3 linked regions of the Danio rerio genome follow. The protein of the gene in region 1 binds, or shares a complex with, the protein of each later gene. Links are inferred from orthologs where the notes say so. Each region holds a gene or a part of one and is shown on either strand. Other genes may lie near its edges. The genes, in order: pigc, pigp and pigh.

Region 1 (6,412 bases):
CGCCAAATATCAAACAGAGAAATGAAAATTGGTTACCCACTCTATTCTACTCAATGTGCTGTTTAATGTACAATTTAATTATCAACTTGTTGTTGTAATATATACAGTTGAAGTCAGAATAATTAGCACCCTGGAATTATTAGCCCCCCTGTTTATTTTTGTCCCCAATTTCTGTGTAATGGAGAGAAATGTTTTTCAGCACATTTCTAAACATAACAGTTTTAATAACTCATTTCTTATAACTGTTTTATTTTATGTTTGCCATGATGACAGTAATATATATATATATATATATATATATGTGTGTGTGTGTGTGTGTGTGTGTGTATATATATATGTTTTTTGTGTCTTGTAGGTTAGCATGGGATGATATTTTTTTTAAATTTATATCACGGTTTGAAAAAGTCAAGGTTTTAAAACTGATAAAATTTTCTGCCATCCTACGGTATTAGTCTGAGCCGATAAACAATATTATATTGAATCACAATCAAATTTATGTCTGTAACAATGATAAGCAATGCACTTTTAACTCTATAATAATCTAGGAGCCAATCACACAGCAGAAAAGTGCCACAATGGGAATCTAAAAGTGTGTGATATTAGAGATGGACCGAATCTTTGGCCACTGAAAATTTTTTGGCCGAAAATATGTTATGCTGTTTAATCGGATCCTCTAATTTTTGTGACTTCAGTCCTTGTTGGGATACTCTTTTAAAATCTTAAAGCATTAACAACTTAAAAATATATTGTTATCGTTCAATATGGAAAATGATTTTCGAGATGACATTTTTGCCATATCGCTCAGCTCTACAAAGGTATGTGTAAGATTTTTTATTTGCATTTTTTTTTTGTTTGTTTTGTTTTTAGGACAACAGTATCTCCATCTCTCATACATAGATGCTGTTTTTAATTGTGAAGAAGTCTGTTGTTGAAACTAATGAAGACAGCAAAAGTCAATGATTGACTTGAATTATTCAGCCCGTCATGTTTACTGCTCCAAAATATTGTAAATGTTTCTCAAATGAAAATATATTGTGTTCAAATGGGAAAAAAGTTCTTGTTTTTTACCCAGACATTTAAAAAGAACAGATTTTAGAGCATTGAGCAGAATACCATGAAACAGTAAAACTGTGCTATTTATATCCAAGGTTATTACACCGTCAGAATCTTATACCGGCCCATGCCTACAAGTAAGTTGATTTATTTAAGTATGGTAAAAAAAAATGATTTCTCTCTCTCTCTGGTCTATTTCTGTGTTTCTACAACAACACTTTTCCTCTGAGAGTGTCTGTCCTCTAGGATCTGCTGCTCTTTCTGCTCTGCTCTGTGCTTTTCTGTTTGTCTATTGGTCAGACTGTTTTGTGCTTCCAATGTAATAGTGGCTTCATCATAGTTGCTCAAGTTAGTTCATAGCCTTTAACTTGATCTGACTCTCATTCATTCATTCATTCATTCATTCATTCATTCATTTTCTTTTCAGCTCAGTCCCTTTATGAATTTGGGGTCACCACAGCAGAATGAACCACCAACTTATTCAGGATATGTTCTATGCAGCAGATGCCCTTCCAGCTGCAACCCATCACTGGGAAACATCCATACATACTCATTCACACACATATGGACAATTTAGCTTAGCTAATTCACCTGTACTGCTGTAACCCATGCAAACACGGGGAGAACATGCAAGAAATGCCAATTGGACCATATGGCTTGAACCAGCTACCTTCTTACTGTGAGGTGAACGTGCTACCCACTACGCCACTGTGCAGCCCTTGATCTGACTCTGCACAATTATAAAATATAGAAACAATTATTATTACTATTATTATTATTATTGACTTAATATAAAGGATGATATATATATATATTACATTATTTTAGTTACTGATCTTTTCTCGTTGAATTTCTGATCTCATATCACCACCTTCTGGCCAATATCTAGAACTACATGTTGATTGTGAATAGGTTTGATGCTTTTTTTTTTTACATCTGAATGAATGAATCTTAGCTTGGTGTTTCTATACGTTCGTTGATGGACTTTTATTACAACTGTATGAAATAAATCCTTCATTTTAAAGCCAATAAGCTGTTTTACTCAGTATTAAAGTGCTAAACTAAAAATAATTCAATAATAAATAAATAAATGTCTCTGTCAATTTTTTCAAACTACTGTATTTAATTTACCAAAGTCACACAAGTGGCAATTGTACATCTGTCACATCCATTATGGAGACATGTCACATCCAAAACGACACTTTTTCCTCATGAATGAAAAAAAATAATTGTAGAATAAAATAAAATCAATCACATTTGAGGAGTCCGCTACAAATGAAAGAAGCCCTGTGTTATACAATATTGTTTGAGTCAAATTATTTTAAATACTCTAATACTGAAGTATTAGTGTAATATTAGTAACTAAAATGAATGAAAATAAATTGTTTGTGTGCAGACGGACTCCAAATATGATTATCCACTAATGAGGGTCAAACAAATGTAACAATAACTCAAATTACTAAACACTGTTTTTTTATTTAAATTTTAGTCATATGCTGTTACAAATTAATCAAGAGAGGATTACCCATAGACTATATAAATATTAAATGTATATGCATCTCACTTTTCACTCGTCGGCGGTTGTGAGGAACAGTCGTCAGGTGGCGCTCTTCAGTCAATACCACGGTTGCGCTTTTGTTTTTGTTTTTTGGTACGTCACTTCCGGATGTATGATGGCTTGACAGCTGCGGCTAAATACAGGAAACCCTGCTCATTCGGTAAGATTTTAGATTTATCTTGAACATTATTCTGTATAAGTTTGATATGAAATAATATATTTTGTCTGTATTTATACACTGTCGCCAGCTGGCTTACTGTATGACTGTATGATTGATTCATTCTGTATGAATCAGATTGACGTGAGAAGCTGTCAGTCAGATACCGCTTGACATTTAGGATAATAATAGATTGATTAAATGCACGTTTTACTTACACAAAGATAAACAATGCTGCTTAAAGTTTTGTGGTGTTTAATGTTTTTCTTTATATATAAACTATGAAGCAAATACATGATATGTGGAGAACAGGGTGTAGTTCACGCAAAAATCTAACTGGCCCCTCTAATTGGTTTTAAACCTTTATGAGTTTCTTTCTTCTGTCGAACATAAAGAAGATACTTTGATGAATGATGGATGCTGGGACCCATCTACTTACAAAGGCAAAGCAATTGCTATTGAAGTCAAAGGGTGCCAGGTATCAGCTAGACATGGCGTCACCTTATAAGGTTCTATTTGACATTTTTGTCAAAACTGAGTTATTGACATATTCTTACTAAATGACAACTTATTTACATTATGCGATGTTTTTTTATAAGTTGTTTACATTTTAAGATTTTTTATTTAAAAAACAAATGTTACACACATACTGTTTGCTATGCAATGCAAAAACTTTGAAGCTCAATATTTTAAAATCATTCAGAATGCAGATAAAACCTTATTATTCTAAGGTGACGATAGGCTGGTTTAAGATTGTGATGTATGATAACCTTGGATGAAAATATCACGGTATTGCTATTACTGCTCTAAAATAAATTCTTTTTAATCGTCTGGATAAACAACAAACTTTTTTCTACCTTTGAACACAATATATTTTATTTTGACAAACTTTTAAAAATATTTTGTAACAATAAACATGTCAGGCTAAATAATTTAAATCAATCTTTGACTTCCTCCCTCTTGATTAGCTTCAAAAACACTGATTTATTTATAATTTAAAAATGGCATTTTAGGATATCTTCTGCTGGAGATACTTATGTCCTAAAAACATAAAAACAAACAAACCTACATAAACCATTGGAACGGTATAGCAAAAAAAAAAAATTTAAAACCTTGATTTTTCCAAACCGTGGTATACCTTGAATACGGTTATCAACCCATACGTATTACCAGCATTCTTCAAAACATCTACTTTTGTGCTCAGCAGAAGAAAGAAACCCAAACAGGGTTTAAACAAGTGAAGGGGGAGTAAATGTTGACAATAAAAAAAAAATTAAGTGTACTTAAAGACCAATGAAAATTTCTCAGTTTCTCTGGATGTACTGAATTTACAAATTGTTTAAAATATTAATATAAAATATTGTTTTCTTATAACATTTATTCCAAATTTAAAATCTGAGTATTGTCATTTTAGAGCCCACCCCACCATTGTTGTGAACATTTTCCATTGTTGTGATTAACAACCTAGGTTATTAATATTGGTTTCTTATATTTGGTAATATTTTGGTAATATTCGGTAATATTGGTTTCTTAACTGGCCTAAAATTGAAATTGAAGAAAAAAAGAAAAGAAATTGAAAACACGGAGCAATCGCTCGCTTTTTTTAATGCTTAATAGTAATAATTCTGTTTAATCCCGCCCCTTTTCGCATCGCCATACGACAGAATTTTGCACACACAAACTCTAGTGTGACTGCAGCTTGAGCCCAAGGAAAATGAATGAATGCTCGTAATGCATTATGATTTATGCAAACTCACTGCATAGAAAATAATTTTCTGTGTACCTGAGTACCATTTGGAGTCCCATATGAGATTATTTTCACCATTGTATTGTAAAATGTTACTCTACCATGATGCCTGTTTGACAACAATGCAGAAAGTTATACAAGATCATCGCAGGATATCAGCAGTATTATTGGCTGGATTGCCTGTCAATCAAACTACCTGCAAAGGGTTAATTGCATCATCAAAGCAATAAAATAATAAATAAAAGAAAAACACTTGATCAATCAGTCGATCTAAATTAATGAAATCTTTCCAAATAGAAGTATTCGATTCATCTGGTGAAACTATATTCGTGTCACAAAACAGTGGGGGAAATAAGTATTCCACACATCACCTTTTCTTTTCAGAAAACATATTACTAAAGGCGCTGTTGACTTAAAATATTTCCCAGATGTTTAAAACAATCAAAAAAATCTAAGTATGCAAAGACAACAAATCTAATTATTTTACAAATAAAGTTATGTGTAATAAAAAAAATGAAGCAGGGAAAAAATATTAAACACATGAAGATAGAGAGGTGCAGAATGACAATAAAAGCCCAGACAGCAGCTGAAATCTCTCAGTAGTTCTTCAGCAACCCCCTTTTCTTCGCCATTGTAAATTAATATCAGCTGCTTCAGTCCAACATCTACATTAGCAGGATGATAAAAAGGAAACCATAGCGGAAATTTCAGCAAAACAATGATTCAAAACACAGCTAAGAAAAGAGAAAGAAAATCAAGCTGTAGAATGGCCCAGCCAATCACCTGACTTGAACCCAATAAAAAATACAAATTAAAGATCAGATTTGAAAGATGGGACTCACATAACCATTAAGATTTTTACACAGTGTTGAAGTCTCTGAAGAACTCACACCTTAGCAATTCATGTGACTTCATTCTCCATATGAGAGGCGTCTTTAAGCTGCCATCATCAAAAAAAGCTTTTTATATGAAGTATTTCAGTAGTTCAACACTTCTCCTTGTGTCATTCCATTGTTATTACACATCACTTATTTTTCAGATGTGTTTTATTTTATTCTATTTTAATATTTGTATTGTTTGAGTTTTTACCAAAATCAGGATCAATCTCATGTCAACAGCTCCTTTAGAAACATTATTCCTAGATAAAAACATGTCATGTTCAATAGAGAATTCCTAATGTGGCAGCAAAACTAAAAATGAGCAATGTCACATTTTTTCCCAATATCATGCATAGCTAATGTTCAGCCACTGTGTTCTCTGATTTGGACAGGCGATGGGAGCAGACAGCGGTCCAGGGGCTCCTTCGGCCGTCCCGTGGAGGAAAGTGCTCTATGAACGGCAGCCTTTCCCAGACAACTATGTGGACCGGCGTTTCCTGGAGGAGCTGCGGCGGAACATCCGCGTCCGCCAGTACCGCTACTGGGCTGTGGTTCGCGAGACAGGCCTTATCGCCCAGCAGGTGTCCTGCGTGGCCCTCTTTCTCACACTGTGGTCCTACATGGAGCAGGGTGAGCTGGAGCCGTCTGCCGTGTTATGCGTCTGCCTAGGCTGCGCTCTGTTTGGATACGGGCTCTATGAGGTCCTGGGAGGAGCCAGTGATGGCAAACGGACGCGTCTTGCGGACCTGCAGAGCGCTGCTGTCTTCCTAGCATTTACTTTTGGGTTTTCACCAGTTTTAAAGACTCTGACCGAGTCGGTCAGCACTGATACCGTGTACGCCATGTCGGCAGTTATGCTCCTGGCTCATCTGGTGTCTTTCCCGTATGCTCAGCCCAGTCCGCCGGGAAGTCTTTCTCTAAATGCAGCTCTGTTCGGGTCGGTGTGTCTAGCATCCCGTCTGCCCGGAGCCCTGCACACCTTCACCATGCTGACCTGCGCGCTGCTGGTGTTCGCGCTC
Region 2 (6,075 bases), on another chromosome or scaffold:
TGCTCAACCCTGCTCCTGGACATCTGCCTTCCTGCACACTTCAGCTCCAGCCCTGATCAAACTCACCTGAGCAGCACTGCATAACTACAGGCAGGTGTGTTTAATATGGGTTGGAGCTGAATGCTGTAGGTAGGTGGATCTCCAGGAGCAGGGCTGAGCCTGAAGTACAACAGTTCAGTCAATTAAACAGTGCTAATGTTCAGTTCCACACCCAATATTCACAGTAGCGCGGTGAACAACATATGGAGAGGGTCACAGATTGTCACAAGAGTTCAGGAATGAGTGGATGTGTCTAACATTATATAAACCTAGTAAACACCAACTGCACAGTTTTACAGCAAACATCAGAGCAGCCTCGCTTCCCATGATGCACCTCGGGGAGACACACCTGACCCAGAGGCTTCCATTGCAAAACCACGAGCTGTTTACTGTCTAAACTGACACAAACCTGGCCAAACCTCTCCTCAAACCCGAGCTGTGCCGTGGTAAAGCTGAGGTAAACTCTCCTGCTCGCTTTATCCGCAGCTTCGCCTCAGGAGTTCAGCTTTTCTCCTTCAGCTCGTGTTTTTCTGCCTCTAAAAGGCGCCAAACTCGTCATTTCTCCGCCATTATTGAGCGTTTAATCTCTTCTCCTCTAAAGATCAGCTCGCACATCTGTAATTATCGCACTGAAAGGCGCAAACTTTACCAGGAAGTTGAACGCGACGCATTCTGGGCTGGCAGACGCTTTACCTGTGTTGATGACACGCGGGGCGTCGCGGAAGTAAGAACACGCGCTGCCGCAGCTAACCGTCCATCAGTCGTGAATATTCGGGGAGAAATGTTTATAAACTGACCTGATTCAGAAGAGCAGCTCCACTGTTTCCTGATGTTTAACCTCACGCATCAACTGCAGCGCGAAACTGACGCGGAGTAAGAAGCGCGCCCTCTGCTGTTCGCCCGCGCGAGTGGCATCAGCGCGCCCTCTGCTGTTCACCACTAGAAGGGATACAGGTGTTGTCCGAAGTAACAACTTGTTTTTACTTTATTTTAAATTAGCCATTAATTGTATTTGAGTTAATTGCACATTGTATTGACGTCTACCTACCCCAACCCCAAACCTCACAGCAATGGATTAACAGAAATTATACCGAATATCACTCATATTATTTATTAAAATGCTCATTAAACTGTATTGTATTACTACAACCCTCACAGTAATGTAAAAACAGTAATTATACAGAGTATTATTCATATTATTTATTAAATTACCCATTAAACTGTATTTAATTATCTTCTACCCTCACAGTAATGTACAATAATCAATATTGTTGTAGTGTCGTATAGATTGTGCTATACTAATGTGAGAATCCGCAGCTGTATCCCTTCTAGACGGAGTGACGTCAGCGCGCCCTCTGCTGTTCGGCCGCGGACACCAACGTTTGTCTTAAAGGCACAGCTCACCCAGTCATTTTAATTCTGTTGTCATTTACTGCCTTCTTTAGTTGTTTTACTTGAACACTTATACGCTTCATTTTAACTGCTGAACACAACAAATATTTAACATGTACGGTAAAGTACATGCTCTTAATCTGTCATAAACACACAGAATATCAGACCGAGCTAATACACGCAGATATTAGTGAATGAAGGAGAGAGAGCGTCTTCAAAATCAACATTATTTTTTACAAACAATATTTATATGGAAAATAAAAATCAGAGCATTAAACCAAATAATAGGTGCGCGCGCGTTTGTTTGTCTCCAGGCCGCGCGGGGGCGGCAGGACGCAGTGCGCCTGCGCAGAAACACAAGGAAGCACCATCAGGAAATAAGACATGTATGTTCTGTTTTTCGTTTTATATGTTATAGTATTTATCGAAACTAAAGCGTGTGTGATGTGTTAGTTTGGAGCATTGATGTGTGTGTGTGTGTGCGCGCGCAGGTGTCGCTGCTGGAGATGGTGATGGTGGAGAACTCTCCTTCTCCTCTGCCGGAAAGAGCCATCTACGGCTTTGTGCTGTTCCTGGGCGCTCAGCTGGGCTTCTGTACGTCTCTAACTCGATCTGTACTGATATTGCACACACATTAGCCGCATTTCCACTATCGGGCCAGTGCGAGCCAGGGCTTTAATCGGGCCGGGGCGGGCCAACAGCCCGGGAGGTTGAGAAATGAGGCTGAAATCATGTCGCGTTTCCACTGTCGGGCTAAAGCTCACAGCGCGTCACGCAAACACCGCCCACAGAACGTCCCCGAATCAAACGTCACACAACCCGCCCACTTCAGCGAGAATCAGGCAGATAAAGCACACCATAAATCATCACGAAACGAAACCATTAAAATGAAGACAACCGAAACAAACAAACGACACGTTACTGTACAGCAGTACATGACATGTCTATACGCACAGACCTGTGTATTTCCATTCATTACATTTGTTTACTCGCCGACCGACTGCATTGTGCATGGAGTGCTCTCGCCACTAACGCAGGGACCCAACACAGAGAGCGCACACATCCATAATATAAAGCCACAGAAATTCTCCTTTATAACTCAATATGTCATGTATTTTTTAACATCCTCTTGTTGATAGAAGTCGTGTTAAGTTTTCAGCACAAGAGCGAGTAGCCTAATAAAATATAGCCATATTTGTTGCGCTCGGCAGCTATTCACTAAAACTCCTCATTTAAAGTTTCATTTATAAATTTAACCACGTCAAATAAAAACATAAACAGTTGTTTGAGGATATAGAACACATTTTGTGTTTGGACTTCCCCCATATGCGTTTAAAGCAGCGAGTGCTGCGCAGGACTGAGTGACAGAAAAAAAGGTATAGGAGATTCTGCTTTCACTCACTCAAATAATGCTCTGTTTGCGCGATTTGATTAATATCATCGTATCCAAATACTTTATAAATATTTACTTATATAAATATTTACTTTATATAAATATTTCAAACCTTCTCCGGTGTTTATTGTTTTTAAAAAATATCGAAAATCTTTTTTTTTTTCAGACAGGTCTTTGCAAAATGAAAGTTAGGCTATATGTGGCTTTAAAACGGTTTGATTTATGTATTGTATATAGGCTACCTACATTGTTATAGTTAGCTTTTGTTTATTTTATATTGGTTAATTTATTTAATGTGATTATATATCCGATATTTGTAATTCTTTAAATTATATTTCAATATACCTTAGGCTATTTTATCAAGATATGACAATATATTGTTTAAAGTCTACGAAAGTGGGCACGTATTTTGTTAAGTTTATGTCTTTCTGTTGTATTTATATGTGTATTATCTCCAAAATAAATAAAGAAAAAAGCCGCTCGCGGCATAACAGAGCTGTGAAGGAGCGCTTTTGCCCGGTCTCACACACACATACAGGCATCTAAACGTGCACAAACAAACAAACATTTTAAACTTGACAAAAACTCTCGAAAACTTTTACTGTCTGCTGTGTTTTTAATATGGTGTAAAGATTATTATGCGTTGAAACATAAAGGAGGACGCAGCAAAGAACGTCACTATAAATTAAAACAACTTTATTATTTTATGCAGGAGCCTTACATTTAAAAGGGAAACATAAGGGTGATCATACGCAAAAAGACCCCAGACTATAAGGCTAGATGTTTTCTTTCCCTTATTTCTTTATTTGTTTGGCGCATGTACTCATGTGCGATCAGAAAACTGTCCGCCTCTTCTTTCACTCCGCCCCGAAGCCCCAGCTGGCCCTCCTTGGCCCAAGGTATTCGGCGGGCCGAAAAAGGCCGGCCGCTGGCCCCAAGAAAGCCCCGCTTTGGCCCGATTAGGCCCCGGAAGTGACAGTGGAAACCCCACTGGCCTTGGCTCGCCCTGGCTCGCTCGCTTTAGGCGCGATAGTGGAAACGCGGCTATTGTCCTTTACAGATGAAGAGAGGCTTTAATCCTGTGGCAGAAACATCAACAGAATCTACAGACTGACAGCAGTGTCTCACACACACACACACACACACACACACACACACACACACTAGAGTACAGGGCATTATACTGTCTGTATGTTTAGCTATGATGCTGAATGCTGACTGTAGTAAGAAGTACTGTAGTACACTTCAGTTTACTCAGGTAAAGTGTGGTGTATTGTGCTCTAAAGTTGTAGAAGAATACAGTTCTGACTCATAGATTACTGTAGCTGTTGTGGTACCATAGCAACCGTAGAATCACCACAACTGATCAATTACTGTAGTTTTGTTACCATAGCAACCGTAGAATCACCACAACTGATCAATTACTGTAGTTTTGTTACCATAGCAACCGTGGAATCACCACAACTGATCAATTACTGTAGATTTGTTACCATAGCAACTGTAGAATCACCACAACTGATCAATTGCTGTAGTTTTGTTACCATAGCAACTGCAGAACCACAACAGATCAATTACTGTAGATGTGTTACCATAGCAACTGTAAAATCACCACAGCAGATCAATTATTATAATTGTCATGTTACCATAGCGACTGTAGAATCACCACAGCAGATCAATTTCAGGACTTGACTCAGTCGCTGAAACACTACAGTGTTCACTATAAATGACTTGAGCATTATTTATTTGTTCTGGACTCATAATTGATATCTGAATAAACATGCAGCATGACAGAAAACAGTACTTCTGCTTGACAAACACCTCTATCTTGAAGACATTGCAGCTGCTGGTGTGTTCTTCATCTGTGGTGTTGTGTGTGTTTGTTTGTGTGTGTGTTTGTGTTCTCCATCAGTGCTGTATGTGGTCTGGGCGTTTGTTCCTGACTCTTGGCTCCATGCAGCCGGACTGACCTACTGGCCGCAGAAGTGAGTGGTCTGTCTGTCGTCTGCTCTTCAGATGCTGATGTTTAATGTCTGATCAATCACTCTTTCTCTCTCTCCGTCTGTCTGTCGTCAGATACTGGGCTCTGGCGGGCCCCATATACCTGCTGGTGGCCCTGAGCACCTGTTTCGTGCTACTGTTCGGAGTGAATATGATGAACACGGCTCCGCTGGCCTCAGTGGACAACATCACAGGTGAGAATTCAGACTAACACCACATGAGCCATTAGTGTTTGAGCTGCTGAAGATCATGTCAGCGGAGACTCAGAGCATTATAGATGTGCAGTTCTAGATGAACAGAGACAGGAGCCACAGACTGCAGACACACTCACACTGATGCATACACAACACACACACTGACGCATAGCCGTCTGTAGCTCCGCCCTCTTCTAAAAAGAGCTCAACCTCATTTGCATTTAAAGCGACAGTCACCAAAACACCACAATGAGGATCACAGCCTGAAAGAGTCAGTTTCAGAGAGCTGGAGGACATCAACTGTGTACTGTTCTCAGCTCAAACACACACACACACACACACACACACACACACACACACACACACAAGAGAGAGACACAGCAGAGACGCATTTACAGCTTGTAGAAAGGGGCAGAATAAGTCTCCTTTAATGAGTTAACAGTCTCAACCCCTATGATGAATGGCAGATTAGCAGATTCTGACATTACTCCTCCACATCTGGACACTTGATCTTCACTAAAGTCTCTTGAACCGTCACAGACACTTTCCTAATGTGCTGTCAGCGAATCTGAAGTCTCTTCTGTCAGTCTAATTCACCAGAACTGAACTCTCATGACTGGATGAATGATTCTGTTCTCATTAGACAGTGTTAAATCACACACACACACACACACACACACACACACACACACACACACACACACGTAACGCTGGTTTGTGTGCTGCTCCAGATGCGTATGGCAGGAGTCAGCGGGTGGACGAGGACCAGCCGGGAGCGATCCCCAGACTCCGAGACGTGTCGGTCAGTGAAATGAGCCGGCTGTTTTACCTGTGAGCCGCCTCTGTCATCAGCGCTGGAGAGGCGTTTGCAGAGGCGTCTCAGGTGAGCAGATCCATCAGGTGTGTGTGACGGCCTGAACTCCGGCTTCCAGATGACCCCGCCGTGACCTCAGCGACCCCTGTGAAGCCACACCTCAAAACACATCTGCACTTCAGCATTTCTCTCAGATCTCTGAATCTCACTGTGTGTGTGAGTGTGTGTGTGTGTGAGTGTGAGTG
Region 3 (6,141 bases), about 15 Mb from region 1:
CAGCTCTAAACACTAAGAATTTTGAATGGCCCGGTTACTTCTGTAAATAGTTTTTGTATTAATGGAAGATCATGTAAAAGGATGCGTTGCTTTAGTTTTCTTTCCCTGATTAGGGAATTTAATTAGCTGTAAAAATGTCTAACAGCTTATGTGACATGTATCTTTTTAAATAATAAAAATAATAACAATAAAAAAAACTAAATATGAACCAAAAAATTAAGACTGATTATTGGTGATTGGGTGTCAGCCCGATAGGGTAGCTTTAAATGGAAATAGTAAAATAAGACCTGTGTAAAATGATTTAAGACTCGCAGCACAATATTGCAGTGAATTTCAAACTTAAGGCCTAAAATTTTGTTTTTTGAAATTTAAGACACTTTATTACTTTGTAAGACCTCGGGGACACCCTGTTAAAAGCATTTAAGCAATTATGTCTGTAGCTTTAACAAAGATTACTTGTATTTAAATATTTATACCATACAGTAATTGTTTCAGTGTCATATTTATTTCTGTATTGTTAGTCTCACCAGTGAACCATAGACCATTGTATTTTCTGTTGTACTTATTTTTTCTTGTGATTTGTTATATTTGATCCAAATGTGCTCCCCTAAAATGGAAAATAATAATAATAATAATAACAATAATCACCCTAATCAATCTAAAATAATGAATTATTTCTGAATAGATCTATTCAAGTCTTCATATTAAAATATATATTGAAAATATTCCGTTGTCAGTTTTTTTTAACAAAATTATGCAAAACAAGTGTGAACACATCCTAAAAAACTAAATGGCTAATCATTAAATAATGTTTTAAATGAGGCAAGAATACTGTTATGTACAAACGTTTTTGAATGCGAAGCCTATCTAAAAACTTCTGCATGTAACAAAATGCATTGTGTATTACTGACAATACAAAAAAGCTACCAACAATGTGCTTATGATTCGTTCTGGAGTTTTCCAATCTTCATTCATCTTCAAAGAAAGCCTCTGCTGATCGAAAAACATGGAGTCATAAAGCATATATAGACACAGAACTATGTCAGTCATGTAAAACATGCAGAATATCTAGCAAAACATGAAGCATTACCTCTGCGTCATCTGCTCTGTGCTAGAATTTCTTGACAGCTCTTGTACACTTGAATCAAACAATTGAGCCGAGGCTTTGAACTCTGGAGGAAGAACCAAAGGTGTTCATTTACATACTGAGATGTCACAAATTCCTATAATCTTGCTTTTGCGAATGAATAACAACAGCTGTTTTGAACCTGGAAGAGAGGAACAACACTGGTCACCGTCTCAGGATCTGCTGGGTCCTTGATGAGAATGCACAGATAGTATATGATGTTGTGCTGAGGAGCAAAAACACAAACACTGATTATTTTTACATCTCGATATCTATCATGCGTGAAGGTCACTGTGTGTTTACCATATAAACAGCCTCATTTATGACGATGTCTTTCAGCTTGCTCATCTCAATGAAAGTCGTGCTTTCTCGTCCAGAGGCGTAAGACGAGGACAATTGGACACCCAGAGAGCCTATTATGAGAAGGGTCTCATGGTCCACCTTCACAAAGTGAATATGAATCACCATCCCAACTAAAGTGAGGATGATGGCACTTGACAGAACCGCCGTGTTCTGAATATTAAACAGAAGGAGAATTATATTAGATCAATAAGAGCAATTAGGTTAGATTTATATTGAACATTTGCTTGACATTCACGAAAATATTTCATATATTCTATTATAATATCAAACTTTCAATCGCAGCCATGTTGGAAATTCCTGAATAAGTTCTTCTTGCTTAGTACTAAGTGGAATTTTGAGATATATACTAGGGCTGTATGATATTGGGAAAAAGCTGATATTGCAGTATTTAGTTTTTTGTCAATACACATTGAGATTCTGTAAATAAATTCACCAGATGAAATGAATAGCTCTATTTGGAAAGAATTTACATAATTTTACATTGATTATGATGATTTTGTGGAGTGTATCTGCATCAAATTTAATAAATCAATCAAAAGTATTGATAAAAACAGTAGAGCAAAGCGATGAATGAAAACAACAACCTTCTAGCAGTATTCGGGTACTCAAATTGAGTAATCAAATGTAAAATAGTTTTCATTATTTCATTATGCATGAATGCTTTACATGCTTACACAATCACAGGCCTTAAAAACACAAACATGATTAATTTGGGTTCCTGTTCGACTATAATCCTGCCAAATGAAATGGTTACTGAGTGTATTGGATTTAGAGGGATACGACTTTATTGAACCAACATATTCTGTATTTTGGTTTTATCTTCTTTAAAATTGCATATTGTGATGGGTAAAGAAAGCATTTTTTATGGTTTGGCTCATGTGATAAAATCACTGAATACAGTTGAAGACCACATGATCAGCCTTACTGTAAAATCCTTTTTCTTAGAATAATTGCCGATGGATATTTTAACAGAGCAAGGAAAATATTTACAGTATTTCCAAATATACTTTTCATTTACACTTTTTAGAAGCTTTTTTTTTTCAGAGAAACTATATATTGTTTTCTTATTTTGATCTCCAAATACAGCCTCATGCACAATCAAATGTTTTAACCTGCACTCAGCAGCTGTAATAAATGCACTATAAATGACAACGTAAACTACTTCTGTTTCCTCACTATATGGACGTACATTTTAAATATGTATTTTTTTTCCCTTAAGAAATATTAAATATTGGCTACAGATCAAACCACTGTTGTCCAATGATTTGACCTAGTTAACCCTAAATAACCCAGTTAAGCCTTTAAATTGCATTTTTAGATTAATATTACTAGTATTTTGCAAAATAAATTGTAAAATATTATTTAATTTCATTATGGCAAAAAACAAAATAATTATGTTATCATTAAATTCTTTTTTTAAATAAAATCTTCTCTAAACGTTAAAGAAAACTTGGGAAAATAACTTAGTAAAAAAAAGTTCAATTTCAAAGGAGGGCTAATAAATTTGTTTTCAACTGTATAATAGACGTTTTCGCGCAATGTCAAATCAAAGTCCAATAAACAGTCATTTTTTGTCTAATAAACAGCAAAAGACGCCAAGGCCTTCATAGTCCGCATGATAAAATGTTCTTACCTGGGTGAAGAAGAACACAGCATAAGCAAATAACCACACACAGCAGGTGTACACCATCACCTTGCGCAAGGACAGTTTGGGTGAGGTAACAGTAAACTCTCTGCAGAAAGAAGAGTGCGTTTGGCAGTCTAAAGAAATCCAGTTGCCATTTATGTCTGTGAACTCTTCGTCGGCCATCTCGATCACTGCTGGTTATTTCGCGGTCGGAAAATTACATTAATAAAGACTTCAGAATAAATAGTTTTGCTTAGATTATTATTTTTCCACCAACAGTAAAACCATCTTCTTCTTATGATAATGTGACGTTGGCAAAATAACATACAGGTGCGTTTTCGCCATCTACTGGACTGGGGTTGAAAACTCCCATTCTGGACCACAAAACCAGTTGCACAAAAATATTTAGCTCTCGCTCCAGTGAAAACAAGTACACTGTAAAGTACATTGTAAAAGCCTAAATGATCTTTTTCATTAAGTTATTTACTGAGCTATGTTTCACAAAAATATATTTTTTTAAATAAATACAAGTAAATAATAAAATTTTTGATTAGTAATATTTGCACCTCCAGGTTGGAGGAAAGTTCTTACCCCAGGTAGAGGAGTTTAAGTTTCTTGGGGTTTTGTTCACGAGTGAGGGAAGGATGGAAAGTGATATTGACAGGTGGATTGATGCAACGTCATCAGTAATGCAGTCGATGTACCGGTCCGTTGTGGTAAAGAAGGAGCTGAGCCGAAAGGTAAAGCTCTCGATTTACCGGTCAATCTACGTTCCTACTCTCACCAGTGGTCATGAGATTTGGGTCATGACGGAAAGGAAAAGATCTCATATACAAGAGGCCAAAATTAGTTTCCTTTGAAGGGTGGCAGGGTGCACTCTTATGGATAGGGTGAGGAGCTCTGACACCCGGGAGGAGCTCAGAGTAGAGCCGCTGCTTGTCCACATCGAGAGAAGTCAGCTGAGAAGTCTGCCTCCTGGACGTCTACCTTGGGAGGTGTTCCAGGCATGTCCCACCAGGAGGAGGCCTCGGGGAAGACCCAGGACGGCTCTCGGCTGGCCTGGGAACAGCAGGATACCCCCGGAGTGCCATGTGAAATACGCTAACTGTTTTGATGTTATTAGATTATGCAGTAAGACTATATTAACTTGAGTAACAATTAAAATGTTAAGTATTTTATTTTATTTATATTTTAGTGTCTTTGTCACCAGCAATGTGAAGGTAATAATCGACCAAATAAATGTAGCCTACAATAAAAAAACTGCCTAGTACATTCCCATAAATTGTATTCTACCACCATTTTGTTTTTGAAATATTTTTCAGATGACCTCTCCCCATTGCATTATCGATTCTTTAGGAAATGTATGAGATCTGACTGCATTTCCCATCAGCCCCTGCGGTCGGTAACCTTTGACTCCCGCTCCAGTGAAAACAAGCCGATCAGCTGATCTGACCTGGCAACAACATTCACCCGAATCTACCGGGGAGGGGAATCATTTTACAAGCTGGTGGGCAAAAACAGTTATCTTCACATCAACCGGCTTATTGTTTTTGTGTTTATGACAGAGTCGTTGTCGTGTGCGATGTTTGAGGGAATTCAGCAGCTCGTTTGTTGAAAACTGCGGTGTGATTCTGGCTCGAAATCAGCTTGTTTTGTTCGGTCAAAGCTCTGTTGATCAGTGTGTGTTGTTGGGTGAACATACTTTAAGGACTGTACGATACTAAACCATTATTAATTCAGATACAGAAGTCATATTTTCTAACCCCACTAGTATTTAGTCTTTGAAACTAGAGGAGACAGCCCAGTCACGTATGCTAATCGTAGCTAGCTTGAGTAACAAAAGCCCAGGGCGATAACAACACTCGAATGTAGCTGTTTTCTCAGTGTTTATGTCTGCCAATACAAACATTTCGATACTTATGGCTTGTAGATTGTCAGTTTAGACCGCTTGAACACTTTTAAATCAATTAGAAAGCTCGACAATCTGTCCTAGTGCCAGTGCTACACGGATGTCAACTGATCTATTTATAGTTCATATTGAATATTTGATTTTAAGCCAGTGTCATAATTTGACATCACATTTTGAATTCCAATGAAATTCACAGCAGACGAGTGAGATATATTGTTTAGGACGCTAAATGCATTATCTATGAGGTATTATATAGCGTGTCAGTAGTTGATTGTACATTTAGGTTGCTCTCTGCTGTAGTTGAGTAACTTTCAGAGAAATTTCCGTTCAAGTTCGTTCGCTTCCGTTACCTCGCTATTATATTTGGACGTATAATGAGCGGCCAGGGCTCGTCGGCGGAGAAGGGGCTGAACGGCGTTCTGGTTTGTCAGGAGAGCTACGCCTGCGGTGGCACGGACGAGGCCGCCTTCGAGTGCGACGAATGCGGCAGCCTGCAGTGCATCCGCTGCGAGCTGGAGCTCCACCGTCAGGACCGCATGAGGAACCACGACAGGATCCGAATCGCTCCTGGCCACGTACCCTACTGCGATTCGTGTAAAGGTGATGGAGGGGTGCCGAACGGGGGTCGGCTGAGAGCAGTGGTTCGATGTCAAGGGTGCAAAATCAACCTGTGCTTGGACTGTCAAAAACGGACTCACAGCGGGGTCAGTAAAAGAAAGCACCCTCTCACTGCGTACCCTCCTCCCTCTAAACCGCCGGAGAACAACTGCAGCACCGGAGACGAGCAGCTGGATGAGCTCAAAGCCAAACTGGAGAAAGTCACCAGCTTTCTTCTAGTGGATGAAAATGAAGACATGCAGGTACTTAAACTTTTCATAGAAGTTTTCCTTTATACACAAGTCAATTCTGCTCCTCAGATTTGATTGGCTAATTGGTTAATGAGTAGACATGAAGCTTTGATTGGAGTCTTCTTTTATATGGGGATTCTGCACACAAAATCTTCTCTAAGAAATATTAGGCTAAAAACAGCTTGTGAAAAAAAAGTTCAGATTCACCTATAAGCCTAGTCCCAAATGGTGCCCTTGTGGTCTTACTATAAATCTGAATATTTTGAAA

Evidence for each region.
Region 2: pigc (region 1) and pigp share a complex: the UniProt entries of both Homo sapiens proteins name them as parts of the glycosylphosphatidylinositol-N-acetylglucosaminyltransferase (GPI-GnT) complex. The link is inferred for Danio rerio from reciprocal best matches to the Homo sapiens genes PIGC and PIGP.
Region 3: pigc (region 1) and pigh share a complex: the UniProt entries of both Homo sapiens proteins name them as parts of the glycosylphosphatidylinositol-N-acetylglucosaminyltransferase (GPI-GnT) complex. The link is inferred for Danio rerio from reciprocal best matches to the Homo sapiens genes PIGC and PIGH.

What each region holds. Positions count from the first base shown.
Region 1 is NC_133195.1:16,063,720-16,070,131, forward strand, and holds the start of pigc (phosphatidylinositol N-acetylglucosaminyltransferase subunit C), read left to right. Parts: upstream 1-2,753; 5' UTR 2,754-2,771; intron 2,772-5,785; 5' UTR 5,786-5,788; coding exon 5,789-6,412. UniProt on the Homo sapiens protein: Part of the glycosylphosphatidylinositol-N-acetylglucosaminyltransferase (GPI-GnT) complex that catalyzes the transfer of N-acetylglucosamine from UDP-N-acetylglucosamine to phosphatidylinositol and participates in the first step of GPI biosynthesis.
Region 2 is NC_133185.1:416,117-422,191, forward strand, and holds the start of pigp (phosphatidylinositol N-acetylglucosaminyltransferase subunit P), read left to right. Parts: upstream 1-1,775; 5' UTR 1,776-1,817; intron 1,818-1,922; 5' UTR 1,923-1,937; coding exon 1,938-2,025; intron 2,026-4,733; coding exon 4,734-4,806; intron 4,807-4,897; coding exon 4,898-5,016; intron 5,017-5,747; coding exon 5,748-5,851; 3' UTR 5,852-6,075. UniProt on the Homo sapiens protein: Part of the glycosylphosphatidylinositol-N-acetylglucosaminyltransferase (GPI-GnT) complex that catalyzes the transfer of N-acetylglucosamine from UDP-N-acetylglucosamine to phosphatidylinositol and participates in the first step of GPI biosynthesis.
Region 3 is NC_133195.1:31,130,907-31,137,047, forward strand, and holds pigh (phosphatidylinositol N-acetylglucosaminyltransferase subunit H), read right to left. Parts: upstream 3,418-6,141; 5' UTR 3,300-3,417; coding exon 3,123-3,299; intron 1,640-3,122; coding exon 1,430-1,639; intron 1,353-1,429; coding exon 1,269-1,352; intron 1,173-1,268; coding exon 1,098-1,172; 3' UTR 1,091-1,097; intron 994-1,090; 3' UTR 579-993; downstream 1-578. Other genes in the region: zfyve1 (zinc finger FYVE domain-containing protein 1), read left to right, coding at 5,400-5,885. UniProt on the Homo sapiens protein: Part of the glycosylphosphatidylinositol-N-acetylglucosaminyltransferase (GPI-GnT) complex that catalyzes the transfer of N-acetylglucosamine from UDP-N-acetylglucosamine to phosphatidylinositol and participates in the first step of GPI biosynthesis.